Linked DNA regions of Struthio camelus. The protein of the gene in region 3 purifies or fractionates together with the protein of the main gene of each other region. This does not show direct contact. Links are inferred from orthologs where the notes say so. Each region holds a gene or a part of one and is shown on either strand. Other genes may lie near its edges. The genes, in order: NUSAP1, RCC1 and KPNB1.

What was found.
Region 1: the proteins of KPNB1 (region 3) and NUSAP1 purify together in Homo sapiens (affinity purification with mass spectrometry; 3 studies listed by BioGRID and IntAct, counting the BioPlex papers as one, with this or other methods). This does not show direct contact. The link is inferred for Struthio camelus from reciprocal best matches to the Homo sapiens genes KPNB1 and NUSAP1.
Region 2: the proteins of KPNB1 (region 3) and RCC1 purify together in Homo sapiens (affinity purification with mass spectrometry; 3 studies listed by BioGRID and IntAct, counting the BioPlex papers as one, with this or other methods). This does not show direct contact. The link is inferred for Struthio camelus from reciprocal best matches to the Homo sapiens genes KPNB1 and RCC1.

What each region holds. Positions count from the first base shown.
Region 1 is NC_090946.1:41,227,280-41,232,306, reverse strand, and holds the start of NUSAP1 (nucleolar and spindle-associated protein 1), read right to left. Parts: upstream 3,176-5,027; 5' UTR 3,081-3,175; coding exon 2,988-3,080; intron 1,555-2,987; coding exon 1,489-1,554; intron 369-1,488; coding exon 177-368; intron 1-176. Other genes in the region: OIP5 (protein Mis18-beta), read left to right, coding at 3,461-3,743, 3,978-4,044, 4,626-4,748. UniProt on the Homo sapiens protein: Microtubule-associated protein with the capacity to bundle and stabilize microtubules. May associate with chromosomes and promote the organization of mitotic spindle microtubules around them.
Region 2 is NC_090964.1:6,352,537-6,357,563, forward strand, and holds the start of RCC1 (regulator of chromosome condensation), read right to left. Parts: upstream 3,809-5,027; 5' UTR 3,722-3,808; intron 3,637-3,721; exon of another isoform or gene 3,432-3,636; intron 3,311-3,431; 5' UTR 3,264-3,310; intron 2,517-3,263; 5' UTR 2,459-2,516; intron 1-2,458. UniProt on the Homo sapiens protein: Guanine-nucleotide releasing factor that promotes the exchange of Ran-bound GDP by GTP, and thereby plays an important role in RAN-mediated functions in nuclear import and mitosis.
Region 3 is NC_090966.1:5,915,588-5,920,614, reverse strand, and holds the start of KPNB1 (importin subunit beta-1), read left to right. Parts: upstream 1-1,765; coding exon 1,766-2,141; intron 2,142-2,470; coding exon 2,471-2,529; intron 2,530-5,027.

The DNA.
Region 1 (5,027 bases), on a different chromosome or scaffold from region 3:
AACAGAGCTATAAAGCACAGAAGACCAATAACACTAGTAGGTCTGCATACCAAAAAGTGAATGTTACCTGTTAAACACTGGTAAAATGAATCAACTCCGTTTAACTTATGCTTCACTACATGTGTTTAGCGGAGGGAGGACGGGGCAGACACTCAAACCCAAGAAACGTAAATCACCTCTTTCTCAGCAGAATGCCCTGTATTGTCTTCACTGCTGTTAGTTTCCTCATTGGAATTGTTTTTTTTTCTGGTTGCTTTCTTTTCTTTTCCACGCCTTTTTGTGATAAAACACACTGGATCAGGCATAAGTTCCTCCTGACTGTTCTGTTCATCCAATTCGATGGAAGCAGATGCACTTTCTTCAGAGTCCTATATCAGATAAGTATCATCATATGAAACATATCTGACATATACTACAAAGAGACAGCCTCAGCGTTATTATCGGAAAAGGCGTGGTCTTTAGTAGCACAGCAATGAATGAGTGATATCTAGGTTTCCTTAAATAGCAAGCTGATTATTGGAAGACTGAGACAGAAAACCTACAGTTGTTTCATTATATGCACAATATTCTACAAAGACATTTAAAAAAACCTAATAGTTTATATTGGAAATTTGACTTGCATGATGCTGTGATCTGCCAAGTTTTTACATTCCTATGGAATAACCTTAAAAAAAAAAAGAGAGAGATACAACAACAGCATTCTTCCACACTTATCATACCAGACTGTAATCAGATGTTGGAAAAATATGTAATATATTCAAGTTGTTACTCATGCGTCGAAGCTTGATAAAATTAAAAATAAACTGACAAGGATTACACAAGCTCTCCATATTTTAAAAGAAGCAGATTATAAAGGAAGCATTTAAAATATATGGTGTGTTTTAAATAGATTCTAATTTACTTTTGTCAAAAAATGTATAAACATTCCATACTCAATGAAATACTTACAAAAGGGAAAGCTTTAGGAAAAAAAAAAAAAAATCAAGAAAATAACATATTAAGAGATGATTAAAGGAAAGGTTCTCTTCTCTTATAACATCAGTAAGTAAACTGTAGTAAATGGAGAATGCTTTGAGATGAATACCCAGTCCCTCCCTCATCTAGGCATTTTTATATTTAGTATTGACTAGCACTTGGAGCTAAAGAGGCAAAAATTAAGATTTGGTCAATGGAAATTGAAGTGTTAGCGTTCACAGGGGATAATTTTGTGCTTACACTGAAAAAATACACTGCTGTTTTTGGCATGAGGGGGTGGGGGGAAAAAATAAAAAAAATCAGCCTTCAGTCATACACACAACCACTTTAAAGCTAATATCAACACATCTATTTCAATCAGTATGCAAGTATACTGAACACTGTTTAAAAAAAATATATTTTTTGTTACAGTTTGCACCATGTTAAATGCGACATTCACTACATGCCATACTTTACTAGTTACAAAGTTAGATTTATCTTTCTTAAAGAGAATAGCTAATTTCTCATTATTACCATATTTTCATTTTCTTGTTTTGCTCCATGAAAATGTTGCTTCAGTGCTTTCAACAATTTGTCTGCCTGCAGAGAAATCAAAACATATGAACTAAAGATTATATTAAGTCATCAGACACTTGCACAAACCCTATAAGCACCCTAAAAATCAGTCCAAACTAGCAAAGCACTTGCTGAATCCAATAAAATAGAACTCTTAAAGCATGCTTGAAGCCTCATTAAAGTCAGTCAGATTTGAGAACATACTTAAGGCCCAGGCTAAATATGTAGCATACAAAGAGAGATTTCCCCGACCAGATTTCTTCTGGTCTAGCTATTGTCCAGAAAGGTCGATTGTTCTAGGATAAAAGAAACTATTTCAGCAGCCTAACTGAATGCTAATAACATTGCACCCAACTTCTCTAATAACTTTTTCCCATTTCACACAATACTATATGGAAAGCATTCTCCTCATCCCTTCTGTATATTCACATAGAATAATAATAAAAAAAGACACACCATCGATGTTTTAATCTATGAATAAAAGACTTTAACTGGAAAGGTCAGCATAAAATCAGTTCTGAACTAGAAGTTACACACAAAGTAACAGAGAACCAAAACCCCAAGCAGAAGCCTCAGTCCTGTGAGGACAATTAATCCTTGATCCAAATTACCACATAAGTGGTGCATCTGGGGTTTCCCTCTGTCTGTTTTTAAAGGCTGTACGCCTTCTCGCACTGGTGGTGCGGGTCTGACTTCTGCTGAGGGATTTACCAGCGGTACCTGCCAAGATCAGGCCAGGCTGGGTCACTGTCATATACCCGTAGGGCCCTAGGCAAAACAGATGGGCACATGCTTTAACTCCTTGTTCTTAATTCCTATCGGTAAGTAAAAAATAATCACTCTCGACCCTTCAGGCTCCCCGTGGTTACCACTCTTCCCAGCCCCAGTCGGATGAAACGCCCGCGTCGGCGGGTACGGCCGGCGCGGCGGGGGCAGCGCGGGCACGGCGGGGCTCCACGCGCCAGCGCAGCCCGGACGCGGGGCGGTCGGGGGCCCGGGAAGAAGGGAGCCCCGCCTTCTCAGCTTCGTCTACAGTCTCACGCCCCTAACTGAAGGCGGTAAGGAACGCTTAAGCGTCAAACTATCAAACTGCCGGCTCCACGCCCCAGGCCCGAGCCGCGCCTCTGCCGACACCACCTCCAGACCGCAGGTTTTCTCATCGCAGCGGCCGAAAGCAGAACAACGACCGCGGGGCCGCCGGGGGCACTCGACCCCCACGACGCCCGCCCGCCCGCCCACACTCCCGCCGCTCCCGCTCGGCTCCGCCGGGCCCCTCGCTCCCCCCGGCGCCGCCCTAGAGCTCCCGGCCGAGCGCAGGGGCAGCGCCGGAGGCGAGCCGAGCCGAGCCGAGCCGAGCCGAGCCCGCCCGCCAGAGCGGGCAGCCCGGAGCTCCCGCCAGCCCCGCGCCGCGGCGCCGCTCGCTGCATCGCGGCCGGGCAGCCGCCGCGCCGCCTCACCCGGAGGTTGGCCTTCAGGCCGGCGGCCTTCGCTATCCGCTGGAGCTCGATGTACTTCAGCGAGTCCAGCTGCTGCAACGAAGAGAGCGCCATGGCGGCGCGACCACCGCCCGCCGGCAAGCCCCAACCGCCGCCTTTCGAATCTCGCGCTCAACTGACACGGCGCCTTGCCCCGCCCCCGCCGTTCGAACTGGCCCGCCGCGCCCTCCCACTGGCTGATCGGAGCGAAGGGGACGGGCCCGCGGGCAAGGTAACCACCAATAGCGGCCCGGCCACAGGGATCGTGTTTGTTTCAAAGGCGATAGGCGCTCCCGGTAAGGGGAAACCCTGCCCCCGCCTGCCTGATTGCCCAATGGTCTCAGGCGAGGAGGATTGACTTGTCTCTCGCCCAGTGGCAACGCAGAGCTGTGTCCCACGCTCCAATGGGGAGGCCGAGAAGGCGGGTGCCGCTCTCGAACGCAGGGCGGGAGAAGATGGCGGTGAGGCGGCGGCTGCAGGAGCTGTTCCAGGACCCGCAGCTCGGCGGGGTCATCACCGTGGAGCGGCCGCCGCCGCCCCCCCCCGCACCGGCGCGGGTCCAGCCGCCGCCGGCCCAGCCGCCGCCGGCTGCGGGCTCGGCGGAGGCGGCGCGGCGGCGGAGGCTGCGGCCGGAGGAGTGGGCGGTGTTCCAGTGCCGCGGCTGCCGGGCCGTGCTGGGGGACTCGCTGCACCTGTGCGCGCAGGAGGAGCGGCGCCTCGGGCTTCTCGCCTGCTTCAGTCAGTGCTGCCGGGGCCGGGGCTGCGGAGCGAGGGGTGTCCGGGCTGGCGGGACAGGGCCATAAGCTTTTACTAATGCAGGTTTTAATACCGGAGCGGAAACTTCCAGCCCCGCGTTAGAAAGAGGCCCGTTGTGCGCCTCGGCGGGGCTCTGCGTCGCCTGCCGTGCTGGGGGGCGCTGGGGCGACCGGCCGTTGCTCTGGGGTTGTTCACTGGCTCTGCCTTTCTTCGTAGAAGTCACAAATGAGGTTGCTTGGGAAGAGTCGCTAATGATCGGCCTTGAAGGAGCCCTCCTAGGCTGGTAGGTAACGGACGTACCTCTTGCTTTTGACATCAAGTTTTAGTCATCAGATGAAATAGGTGGACCAAAATAGGCCTCCCCAAAGTCAGAGGGAAAGAGTTCCTGCACGTTTTCTAGCTGGGGCACTGAGATGTCTCGTGGAATTGATAAAGTCCTAAGTGATTTTTGGACCTGTACTTCATAACTTTGAACTGAAAATTCTTTTGTATATGTGTAGCTTTAATTCTTATCAAAATCAGAAGAAGTTTTGTCAGCATTTACCCTTGTTAACGGAGAGAGAGGAATGTTTGAGCAATGCAGTAAAAGGTAGCCTATAGCCTTTTACCCTTTTTTTTCCTCCTGCTCCTGCCTTTTAAGCATATATCATCTAAATTAATATATAAATTATATATTTTATTTATATAAAATATAAATTTTATATATACGAGCATATATATAACACATATATAGAAAAGTAATATTATGCACTTTGTTTGCTCTTCTGGTAAAACTAATAACCTGATGTCCTCTGATTAGCAGGCAGTATCTATGGTTTCAGAAGCTTCTGTTTAAACATACTATTTTCCCCTTTCTCCTTTCAGCACTTTCAATGCATTATCCTGTCGTTCATGTGGCTTGATTGTGGGCTTCATTCTGTATTCTACTTTCAGTGATCTGGCTTATCTCCGAGGCTTCTTCTGTTTCTTCAAGGACAGCATCCTCTGGTGAATATGCTGTTTTTTTTAATGGTAAATGACTTCACAGGAGTTTGTAAGTGATTCTGTTTTAATCAGATAGTTAGTTATTAGTATAATTAATCTACAGCTAACAGAAGCTGTTTTACTTTTGAATGCATTGGTGCATGGGTTTTAATATTCTTTCTATTTAAATTGCTCATGTTGGCACAATTCCATTTGATTTGGCTTACATTTTTAAGTATCCTCATGTAATTTCAAGGATTAAATTTAAGTGCTTGCAGTATGAGATCAACTTTACTTCCAGAT
Region 2 (5,027 bases), on a different chromosome or scaffold from region 3:
CGGGCCCCGCAGTGAGCAGCCTCGCCCCAAGCTCAGCCCGGGATGGAAGCGCAGCCCCTGCCGCCGCAGGCAGCTGCGAACAGCAGCCAAGCTATGGTTCCCATTGAACTTTTGTCTGGTCGCAACAGGGAGGGGGAAAAAGACAAAAAAAAACACAACCTATCACAAACTGAGCTCACAGCAGGGTTAGCTGTCCCCGTTACAGTGCCATGAGCTGAGCGAGGCAAGGCAACAGGATAAACCCCAAACTCTCCGTGGAGGCATCCACTAGCATTGTCCAAGCAAGAACTGGGGCTGTGGTCCCTGAGCCTTTTGCGCACATTGCACTTCTACAAGGACTCACGATCTACTGTTCATCTGCTGGTTTAACAAACACTTGGATTTGATGTCAAGTGTTGTAATCAGATTCACACCCTGAGGACAGGACATCCCACCCCACGGCTGAGGCCTGCTAAGGGGCAGTGGGAGTCATACTGCAGCTCCAGCTGGAGCCCAGGTTGTGAATTACAGTGAAGCAGGTGAAAGTCACTTGCAGGTGTAGGATTTAAACCAGTTTGTGACAGGATGCAATAGGAAAACAAGCACTTGCCAGCTCAGAGTTAGAAAAAGACAACCAGCCTATCTAGGAAAGTGCATGTCAAGAAGAAAGCACATCTATTTGCATTTGCCCTTTCCCCCATGAAAAATTTACATGCCATGAGGTGATCTGCAACCACTTCAGCACAGTTCCAAGCCAGGCGCAACCTCAAGTCTTGCCAGGATCAGCTCAAGCTCCAGAGAGCAAGCAGACAGCCCCACTACCCCCATACACCCTCAGCATTCAACCCATGAGCCAGCAAGTTTCAAACCAGGTACCCAAGACAGACAACTGCTCCTCCAACCCTCCCCCACAGGCATTCACCAGCCTCACCATCCGGTTCAAGCAAGGTTCATCGACTCTCAGAGCAAGGAGAAAGGGCATTCTCCCAAGTTAAATAGCCCATGAGCTATTTAACCCATGAGTGGCACCTCTAGGCCAACTCCAGGCAGACTTTACAAGGCAGCTGTGCTGTTCTCAGACTGCTCTGCAGAGCTGGACTTACAGCTCACGACCACACGCTCGCTCTTACCACGTTCCTCGACTGTGCACGCTCCCTTCAGGTCTCCTCCCACAGCAACCTTCAGTATTTTGTCCTTCAAGGCCCTTTTCCTGTTTAGAAGTTTGTCAGGACAAACACCCCTCTGCTCTTTGTGCCCATTCCACTGTTTCAGACTGTGAAACAGGTTTCTCGTGTAACTCATCCTTATGTTCAACACCCAGGGGTAGATACATGCTCCACTGACCAGGTGGGGAACATTGCAGCTATGAAGCAAAGCTGCTGACATTTAAGTTAAAAGTTCCAAAGGGGTTCATAGGTTCAACAGGAATAAAAAAAGCCTCTAAAGCCTTTGACTTAATTGCAGGGAGAAAATATCTCCCAAAGTATGAAGGATATTTGGAACTTAAAGCAAAGGCACTCCACACCCTCCTCCCCCACCAAACCCTACAGACCAGGGAACTCTGGTGGTTGTAAAGGATACAAAATACCATATATTTATCGGTATCCTCACCAGTATATTTAGTGATAATCATGCTGCTGCTATGACCTTCCTAGCTCAAAAGCAGGCATCACTGGAGATGACGCTGGGCAGACTCTAAAGATCTTCCGAAGGACAACCCTGCTACATTAGCTATGAAACCCTAGAAGTTTAGTCATGGGTCCTGAGCTTCAAGGAATGAACAAATGGCCAACAGTCATGCCAGAAAAAACAGCCATACAACACCATTTCAAAGTAATTTCTTTATTTGTCAGGCATAGCATCACAAACCTCCAGGACATTCACAGAAGTAATTCAAAACTTCCTGAACAGACATTAACACAAGCTATATATGACTTTCACGCCATACTCACACTCTTTTGCCTTCTTCCCCAGCACCAAACAATTCATCTCACCTACAACCAGAAAGATTCACAATGGCTTGCTTCATTTCTCTGGCTCCATTTCAGGTTAAGCACCACAGACAGGTTATCCAAACATTTAACAAGCATTCTCCTAGCTTGTGTAGACAACGTGCACTGGCACACTGATTTCAGGTGCTGTGCACCACGGCCCTTTGTTCCTACAGGCTTTCTCCACTATGTTCCTCAGAGCGTGGCTAAGCCGTGCAGGGTCAGCCCTGCTGAGCAGGCCCTGCTTCACTGTGCAACATTCAACAGTTAGCATGCCATGCAACCACCAGGGCCTTTTCTTCTGATACAGCAGAAAACAGCAGGCCCCCAGAATGAGCACATGCTATTAGATAGCCAAATACAGACATCTTCTCCTTCCAGCCTACTCCAGTGTCTGCGGTCTCATTTTGATTCAACACTTTGCATGAATTGGACCTCATCTACTTCCTCTATTTTCTGGTTGGTAGAGGTGCTCTGAGCATACTCACCATCCCACTAGGCAGACAGGTTACTTTCTGCTGTTAGCATCTCACACTCAGTCAGGGTCTGCAATGTTAAAAAAATTCAACAACAAAAAAAAAAGAATCTTAAAACTTGGCAAGTCACATGGGTTTTTTGCTGTTTATGATCTGCCAGGAAGCACTTTTGTTCTCCCCCTTCTGTAAGGGGCACACAGGGTGCTACGATACTAGCATATATTTTTTCAAGGGACCTCTATCTATTCTGTTAATCCATTCTGCTCATCCATTAAATACACCATTATCAGGTACAAGTACCAGGTATCAAGTACAGGACAGTCACATGCTCCCAGTCCTAAGTAATTGTGGCCCGTGGCTTCTTTCAATGTAATCCCAATGCTCCAGTACCCAGATCAATGATCCACGTTGTTCTTCACAGATGATGTTAAAGTCTGCTCTAGGACTGATTAACATGAGCACATGGGCGATTGCCCCAAGCTCACTAAATCCACAAGTACAATTCAACCATACTTCAGAAACGAATTTTTTTCTATTTTTTTCCTTAAGATTCAGAAGTTAACCTCTCTTTCCCCCCCAATCCATCTAAAGTCTTGTGACATCTCAGAAGTGGGGAAATATCTAAAGCTAAGTTTTCGCTCTTAAATAGTGCCTACCAAGTCTATAATGGTATTCAATTACCTCAAGCTGTTGACCCAATTCATTTTGCGTAAGCCAGCTAAAGGAGTATAGTTCAAGCTTCTTTAGAGAACAAACTATTAAGAGAGCGGCATAACTACAAACACGGAACAATATTACATTACTAGTGCAACATTACCTTGAAAAATCAACGCCCCATTCACTTCAAGCTTCTCAAGCTTACAACTGAAATAAAGAAAACAATATTTTAAGTAACCGCTTGCAAATTAGACCTCATTCGCACTTCTCCCCAAAGCACGCGCAGCGGCTGCCCAACCCCAGCGCAAAGCTATCCCCGAGTTACAGTATTTGTCTCCTGCATGGTTTATCTCCTCCGTCACAGTCCGAGGACTCGGAGAAGCAGTAGGAATATGCAGGCTGCAGACCCGAGGCCCGGCTTCTTCTCCAACGTTGTGGAAAGGGACTGTACGTCACAGGCCCGAAGGCCTACGCTCCCCCGCGCCACACGGACAGAGCCGAGAGAGAGCTACTTCTCCGGATATCCACGTTGGGTTTAGCTCCAGAGCGCCGCAGCCACCCTCAACCCCGGAGCCCAGGGCGCCCCCGCTGCCCCCTACCCCCGCGGCGACACCTCACCTCCGCCCTCTCCGCTCGCCGCCCACAAAGAGACCGAGGAGCTCCGCGCCGCGGAATTTATAGGGCGGGGCGGGGCGGGGCTAGCGTTCCGCGCATGCGCCGCCGGCAGCAGCGCGAGGAGACTGCGCAGCTGCAGGTTTCGATTGGGCAGCTGGTCCGGCGCGTGCGCAGTGTGGGGGAGGGGCCGGGAAGGGCCGCGCGTGCGCAGGGAGAGAGCGCGGGAAAAGGGAAAGGAGCTAACAGCGCGTGCGCAGTGGGAAGGCGCCGGGACGGGGCGGGGGACAGCGCGTGCGTAGCGGGAGGGCGCCGGAAAGGGGCGGGGGGACCGCGCATGCGCAGTGGGAGAGCGCCGGGAAAGGGTGGGGGGACGGCGCGTGCGCGGCGGGAGGGCGCCGGGAAAGGGTGGGGGGACGGCGCGTGCGCGGCGGGAGGGCGCAAAAGGCCGAACCCGCAGCAAACGTCCCGGTTTTTTGTATTTCCCCCTAAAGCTGGCATCGCCAGCCGCTGCGGAGAGGAAGAGGAGTCCGAGCATTCCCTCCCCTTGCCCAGTCCCTTCCCAGAAAGTCCCTTTGAAACGCAGCTCTCCCCCTCCTCACACCATGAAGCCATAAAAATCAGTCTTTTTAAAAAACAAATCCTAAAATACTTTTATTCAATAATTAAAATCTGTTGAGGAGGAGAAGGATATACAACAATGCAATGATTTAGTCCACAGCCATACTGGGGGGAGGGGGGGAAGCCATGAAGGAGGACGCACCCGCTGCCCAGCATGGCGGCAGCAGGGGACAAGGCCGCGCGGGCCGCCCTCGGCTCGGCCTCGCCCGGGAGCCGCAGCGAGCGGTGCCGACGGTCCGGGCGAGGGCAGGGGGACCCCGGCGCAGCAGCTCTCGGCACAGCAGGCCCCAGGGAGTGGGCGCAGAGCGGTGCCCAGGCCCGGCCTGCGGCGGCCCCTCACCCTGCGGTCGAGCGGTCTGTGAACAAGGCGAGTCCTCCCGCCCCGCTGCGCCGCCTCCCCTCTCCCCTTCCTTCAGGGCTGGTGGCATCGCAGCCGCAGGGCTAGGCTTTGCGCACCAGAATTAAAAATCCAAACACTCAGGAAGAACCGACAAGAAATCATTCTCCAAAGAGAACGAAGAGCTGTTTTAAGGTCACTTTTTAAACCTCTTCTCCCCCCCCCCCACCTTCCACCCACACAGTGAAGTTATCAAGTTTCCAGTAGGTTTTGCTGTTTTAAAAAAAAAAAAAGAGAGAAAAGGCAAGTTGCACCCTGATCTGTGAGAATTAAAACAAAAAAAATACAGAGGAA
Region 3 (5,027 bases):
TAGGACCTGTATCTTGGCAGAATCCCTTCTACCAATTTTGCCACCGAGCAGCTGGGTTCCACATGGTTTGTGGTGTAGGAATGGGACTATCAGTTAAAAACAGTCAGTTGTTTGGATGATGTTAACTATTGCCAGCTCCTTGCAACTCAGAGTTTTCCCCTGCTATGGTCAACCAAACTCTCTCTCCCTCATTTATGCGCTCAGAGATGGCTGCACTTGAGCAGTTACCGTACCTGCAGCGCATCCCGTTCCCAGGAAAGCAAAATACTGCAAGTACAAAGCACGGTTAATCCAAGAAGTAGGAACACCGTGAAGAAGGGAGTCTAACGTACATCTGCGTCGAGCGCTGAGCGTTCCTCTGGCATGAGGAGCAGGGCTCTTCCGATTCCTCCCTGCCTACAGGAAGAGTCAGGTTGACTGTAACTAGGTAATTGTCCCTTCTCTCGTTGGCCTTTGTATTTAATCCCACAATAGAGCCTGATTGTGTTACTAATTGCTCTCTCCCGGTGCGCAAGCCACAAGAGACCTGCGAGTCGCAGAGCCCGCCTTTACCTGGGTTTAATTATTCAGCTGCACCTTTGTTCTGCTCCTCTCCTTTTTTTCCAGGCATTCCTCTGTTAAATCCTGCATCTTGTGGAGTTTGAGCTAGGCCTCATGCGTGCTCAGAAGCTGGTGCGGCCATCTCCCTGCCTTGGGGCAGTCCAGCGCCTGGGCTGGACAGGGGCGTGCAGGCGAGCGCGCTGGTGTAGCAGCGCCTCTCCGGGAGGGAGGAAGAACGAGGGGCCTTTAGGTCATTTTTGGTGGTGTTATCACTGCACCCACGCAAGGGATCGCGTAGTCCTTTCCATGGGGGGGGGGGGGAGAGGAATAGTTGCATAAACACAAAACCGTGCAGCCCGGGTGTCACTTGTAGTATCGTTGCTTGTAGGAGCGGCGGTTACAGCCTGGGTTGGGGCCTCTGCTGTAAAGAGCATGCACCCCTGGAGCATACAATAAAGATCTACCTGAACCTCCACCATACCTTGATTATCCTAAACTGTGCCACCGCTGACAACTCCGTCCAAGCTGAAAGCATCTCCCGCGACCTCCCAGAAATCTCCCAGGCTTCACGTCCTGTGCTGCAACCCCCGGTTCTTCAGGGCTGCGGGGAATTGCGCCTTGGGGAAACGGCCCCGTTTCCGCCAGCTGATGCAACTGCGCCTCCCCTCAACGCTCCTTAAAACTCGAGGCACCTTGGTGGAGAAAGCGCGCCTTGGGCCAGGCTGCATCGTGCATGGAAAACACAGCGTGCACGGAGGCTGCATCGGGCATGGAAAACACAGCGTGCACGGAGGCTGCATCGGGCATGGAAAACACAGCGTGCACGGAGGCTGCATCGTGCAGCGAGCACGCATCCCTTACTTGTAGCTTTTAGGTTAATACTAGGTTAAGGTTAATACCAGGTTAGGATCCCCAGCGGGCGGCTCCTCCGCCCGGACCTCCAGGGCCCGGGCAGCGCCGGCGGCGGCGGGACCCCACGGCGAGCGGGGGCGCGCGCGCGCGCGCTGCCGGGCCCGGCCCGGCCCCACGTGGCCGCCCGCGCCGGCCCCTCCCCCGGCCCCGCCGCGGGGGCGCCCTTTCCCCGCGTTGCCCAATCAGCGCGCGCGGCGCCGGAACCCTTTTCCCGCCCCTCCCTTCCTCTCCCTTCCAGACCAATGGCCGCACCCCTACCGGCCCGCCGCGCCGCCGGCCAATGGGAGCGCGAGCCGCCGGCCGCCGCCGGCCAATGAGCGCGGCGGCGCGGGGCGGCGGGCCGCGGGCCGTATCCCTCCGCCGCTCGGTGTGCGCGCGCGCGCCCGCCCCGCTCGCGCGGCCCTTTTCTCCCTCCGCCGCTGCCACAGCCGCCCGCCGCAGCAGCCGGAGCAGCCGCCGCCGCCGCCGCCGCCCCGCGAGGTCTTCCGCGAGCGGGACCTCCCCCCTCCCCACCCCACCCCGTTCCCTCTGCCGTTTCTCACGGGGGAGGCTCCTTTCCCCCTCCCCCCCTTTCCCTTCACTCCCCTCCCCCCCTTCCCGGCTCGTTCCGCTCCCCGCACGCCGGTGCCGGAGCCGCCACGCCGCCGCCATGGAGCTCATCACCATCCTGGAGAAGACGGTCTCGCCGGGTAGGGCGCGGGCCGGGCCGAGGCCTGAGGCGGCCGTTAGGCCCGGAGAGGCCGGGCGGGGCGGAGGCCGCTGCCGGCGGCGGTGGCGGGGGGGGGGGGAGGGGGAGGCCGCGCAGCAGCCCCGCGGGCTGCGGCCGGCTGAGGTGAGGCGGCGGCAGCCGCTTGGCTGAGGGGAGCTGGGTTGGGCGGCGGCGAGCGGGGCCGCGGGAAGGGGGCTGGGAGCGCGGCGGGAGCCCGGGGCCCTCAGGAGCCGGGGCCCGGCGGGAGGCGCCCCCGGGACCTGACTGACGCCGGCTTCCCCCTGCCGTCTCTCCTCGCTTCCCCGGCAGACCGCTCCGAGCTAGAGGCGGCGCAGAAGTTCCTGGAGCAGGCGGCCATCGAGAACCTGGTGAGAACCGGGGAGGGCGGCGGCGGCGGCACCGGGCGACACCGAGCGGGCGGGGGGGGGGGGGGGGGCGCGCTCCCCTCCCCCACCGCCCCGCCCGGCCAGGCCGAACCGCCATAAAAGGCGCAACCTACCTCGCCCGCGTCCAGCCGGGGCGGCGGCTGGCCAATCGCGGCTCGCCCGCCGCCTCCGCCGACCAATGGCGACGCGGCGCCGGCAGAAGGGGGGAGGGGCCGCGCTAGGCTGCGCCGCGCTGCGTGTCCGCGCCGCGCAGCGCCGCGCCGGCTGCGGTGGGAGCGGCCCGCGGGGCCATGTGCGGCCCCGCCGCCTCCCCGCGCCCCGCCGCGGCCCCGGCCCCTTGCCAGGGTGTTTATATCTCTCCTCCAGCCCCTACCCCTCCACTTTCCCTTTCCCCCCCCCCAACCTTTTTTTTTTTTTAATTTATTTTTTATTTTTTTGCTGAGCTCCTCTCCTGGCCCACTTCCCGTCTTTCTCCGCCCCGTTCCGAGCCCATCCTCGAGGCCTTTCCCCGCACGCGTGCCGGGGAGGCGGCTGGGGAGGGCGATGACACGGTCGGGATCCTGGTGGGGGAGTCACTGTGCTGGGTGGGGTCAGGAGAGGTTAAGATTGATTAATTTACCTGGAATGAATGGGGAGGGGGGGAACTCTGTTTTCGAGAGGAAAAGCTTTATCGCACCAAAAAACGTGCTTATGAAAGTTCTCATCGCCCTATTCCTTTCCAAAAAAACCCAGCTTTTTTATATATGTCCTAAAATTGAGGATGGTGTAGAGAAGTTTAACTCTCCATCGAAGGAATATGATTTTTTGCTTAGTCAAGGTGTATTATTGCAACTGTTTCAAGGCTCTTACAGGAGAGGGCTTGCGATGCTAATTTGCTGTCCTTGAAGGAATCCTAGCTCATTTTAACAGAGGTGTGTTATTCATGTCACTTCAGTATTCTAGTTGTCACTCACTGGTTGTTACGGTTACTAGCAAAATTTATTCTTCCTTTTTAAACGGTCATATGTGCATTTGTCTCCACTTGTCTAAACCACAAAAGTAGTGTGGTCTTTGTTGTTGTTACATTTTAAGCAGTGTGAAGCGTCCCTGAGAATCATAATTGACATAGTTTTTACACAGAAATGTCCGTTTTGATTCTAATTTTGTGAATGGCTGCTTGTTAAATCTTAGGATCCCCTAAAAATCTTATAACCTCAGGGTTAGGTTGACGTTCCTGCGCAGTGTTATATGAAGCATTTTGGATTGACGTCCTTGGGCAGCTCGTGATTTTATGCATTTCAGGCTTTTGAAAGAGCTGGGGGATGAGCCAGTTTCTCAAGGTTTCATTTATACCTGCTTTCTTGGCTCAGAGCGCAAAAGCGAGGTCAAGGCAGCAAGCAGAGGAAGCAGAATTTGTGCTGGTGCGTGAGGGATGAAGTTTGTGCCCTGGTTTGGGAAGGGGTGTGGGTTGGTGCAGGTTCCCAACGGATGGGGGCCGAGGAGTCCCATCTCAACCGCGAGAGTGATGAGTGCAGTGAGGAAGCTTGGGTTTGTCGGAAGAAGCATAAAAGGTAGCGTAGGAGAGGAAGGATGCAGGGTTCTGGGTTGTTCGTAAGTGGTATGTGATTGGGAAGAACTCTAGCTGGGCCTGGAGGAACAGGAAGGAAGTAGGGAAGAGGTAGGAGGTAAGGGATTGGGTTAGAGGCTCTGTGCTGGGGGCTACTGGTAGTGGCAGCCAAGCAAACAAAGTCTGAAATGAACTCCCAGCTGGTTAATGGAGACTTATCCAAATATGCTTATTCTTTCTTTTCCCCTCCTGTATTTAATTTAGACCCTTTTCTGAAATTTTTCATTGGCGTTTTTGTAAGTGTGGAAGTCATATGCATCTGCATTTGGTTTGGATCTTAATGTAATGCTTCTAACTTTTAGCAGGAATTATATCAAAGTTCCTTAAAAAGACTTTTTTTTTTTTTTTTTGTTAACTGATGAGAGAGATCTCCAAGGGCATTTCCTCAAATTTGGAATTCTAGTCAGGTTTCCTTCTCAAAGGTGGCAGCAACACTTTTGTTTTGCCCTGTGAACTTTTCTGAACGGTTTCCCATTTCTGGCACAGTAGAACTCAATGTCTCAAGTGTGAACATTCTTGATGGATGAGAAGTGTTTTCTTTTATTATGGTGTATTTGTACATTTTTTTTTTATGTAGAGCATTAAAATGTCAGGATATTTCTGACTGGACAACTGGATGACTGTTTTGTTTCCAAATTCTGCATTTTGACTTTTATCTACTAGATAGCCTAATTAAGATTTTTCAAGAGGCAAACTTGATCACTGAAAATGTAAAGTCCAGGATACTGGGCATGCTCTTTGTTTCTATTGAACTTTTAAAAGTTAAGCTAGTTTAAAAAAATAACTATTTTTTTGGTGCCCTAAAATCTTTGTATGTATCCTAAGTTCTGTTATACAGACTTTTAAAAATTGGTTAGATGCAACTATATATTAA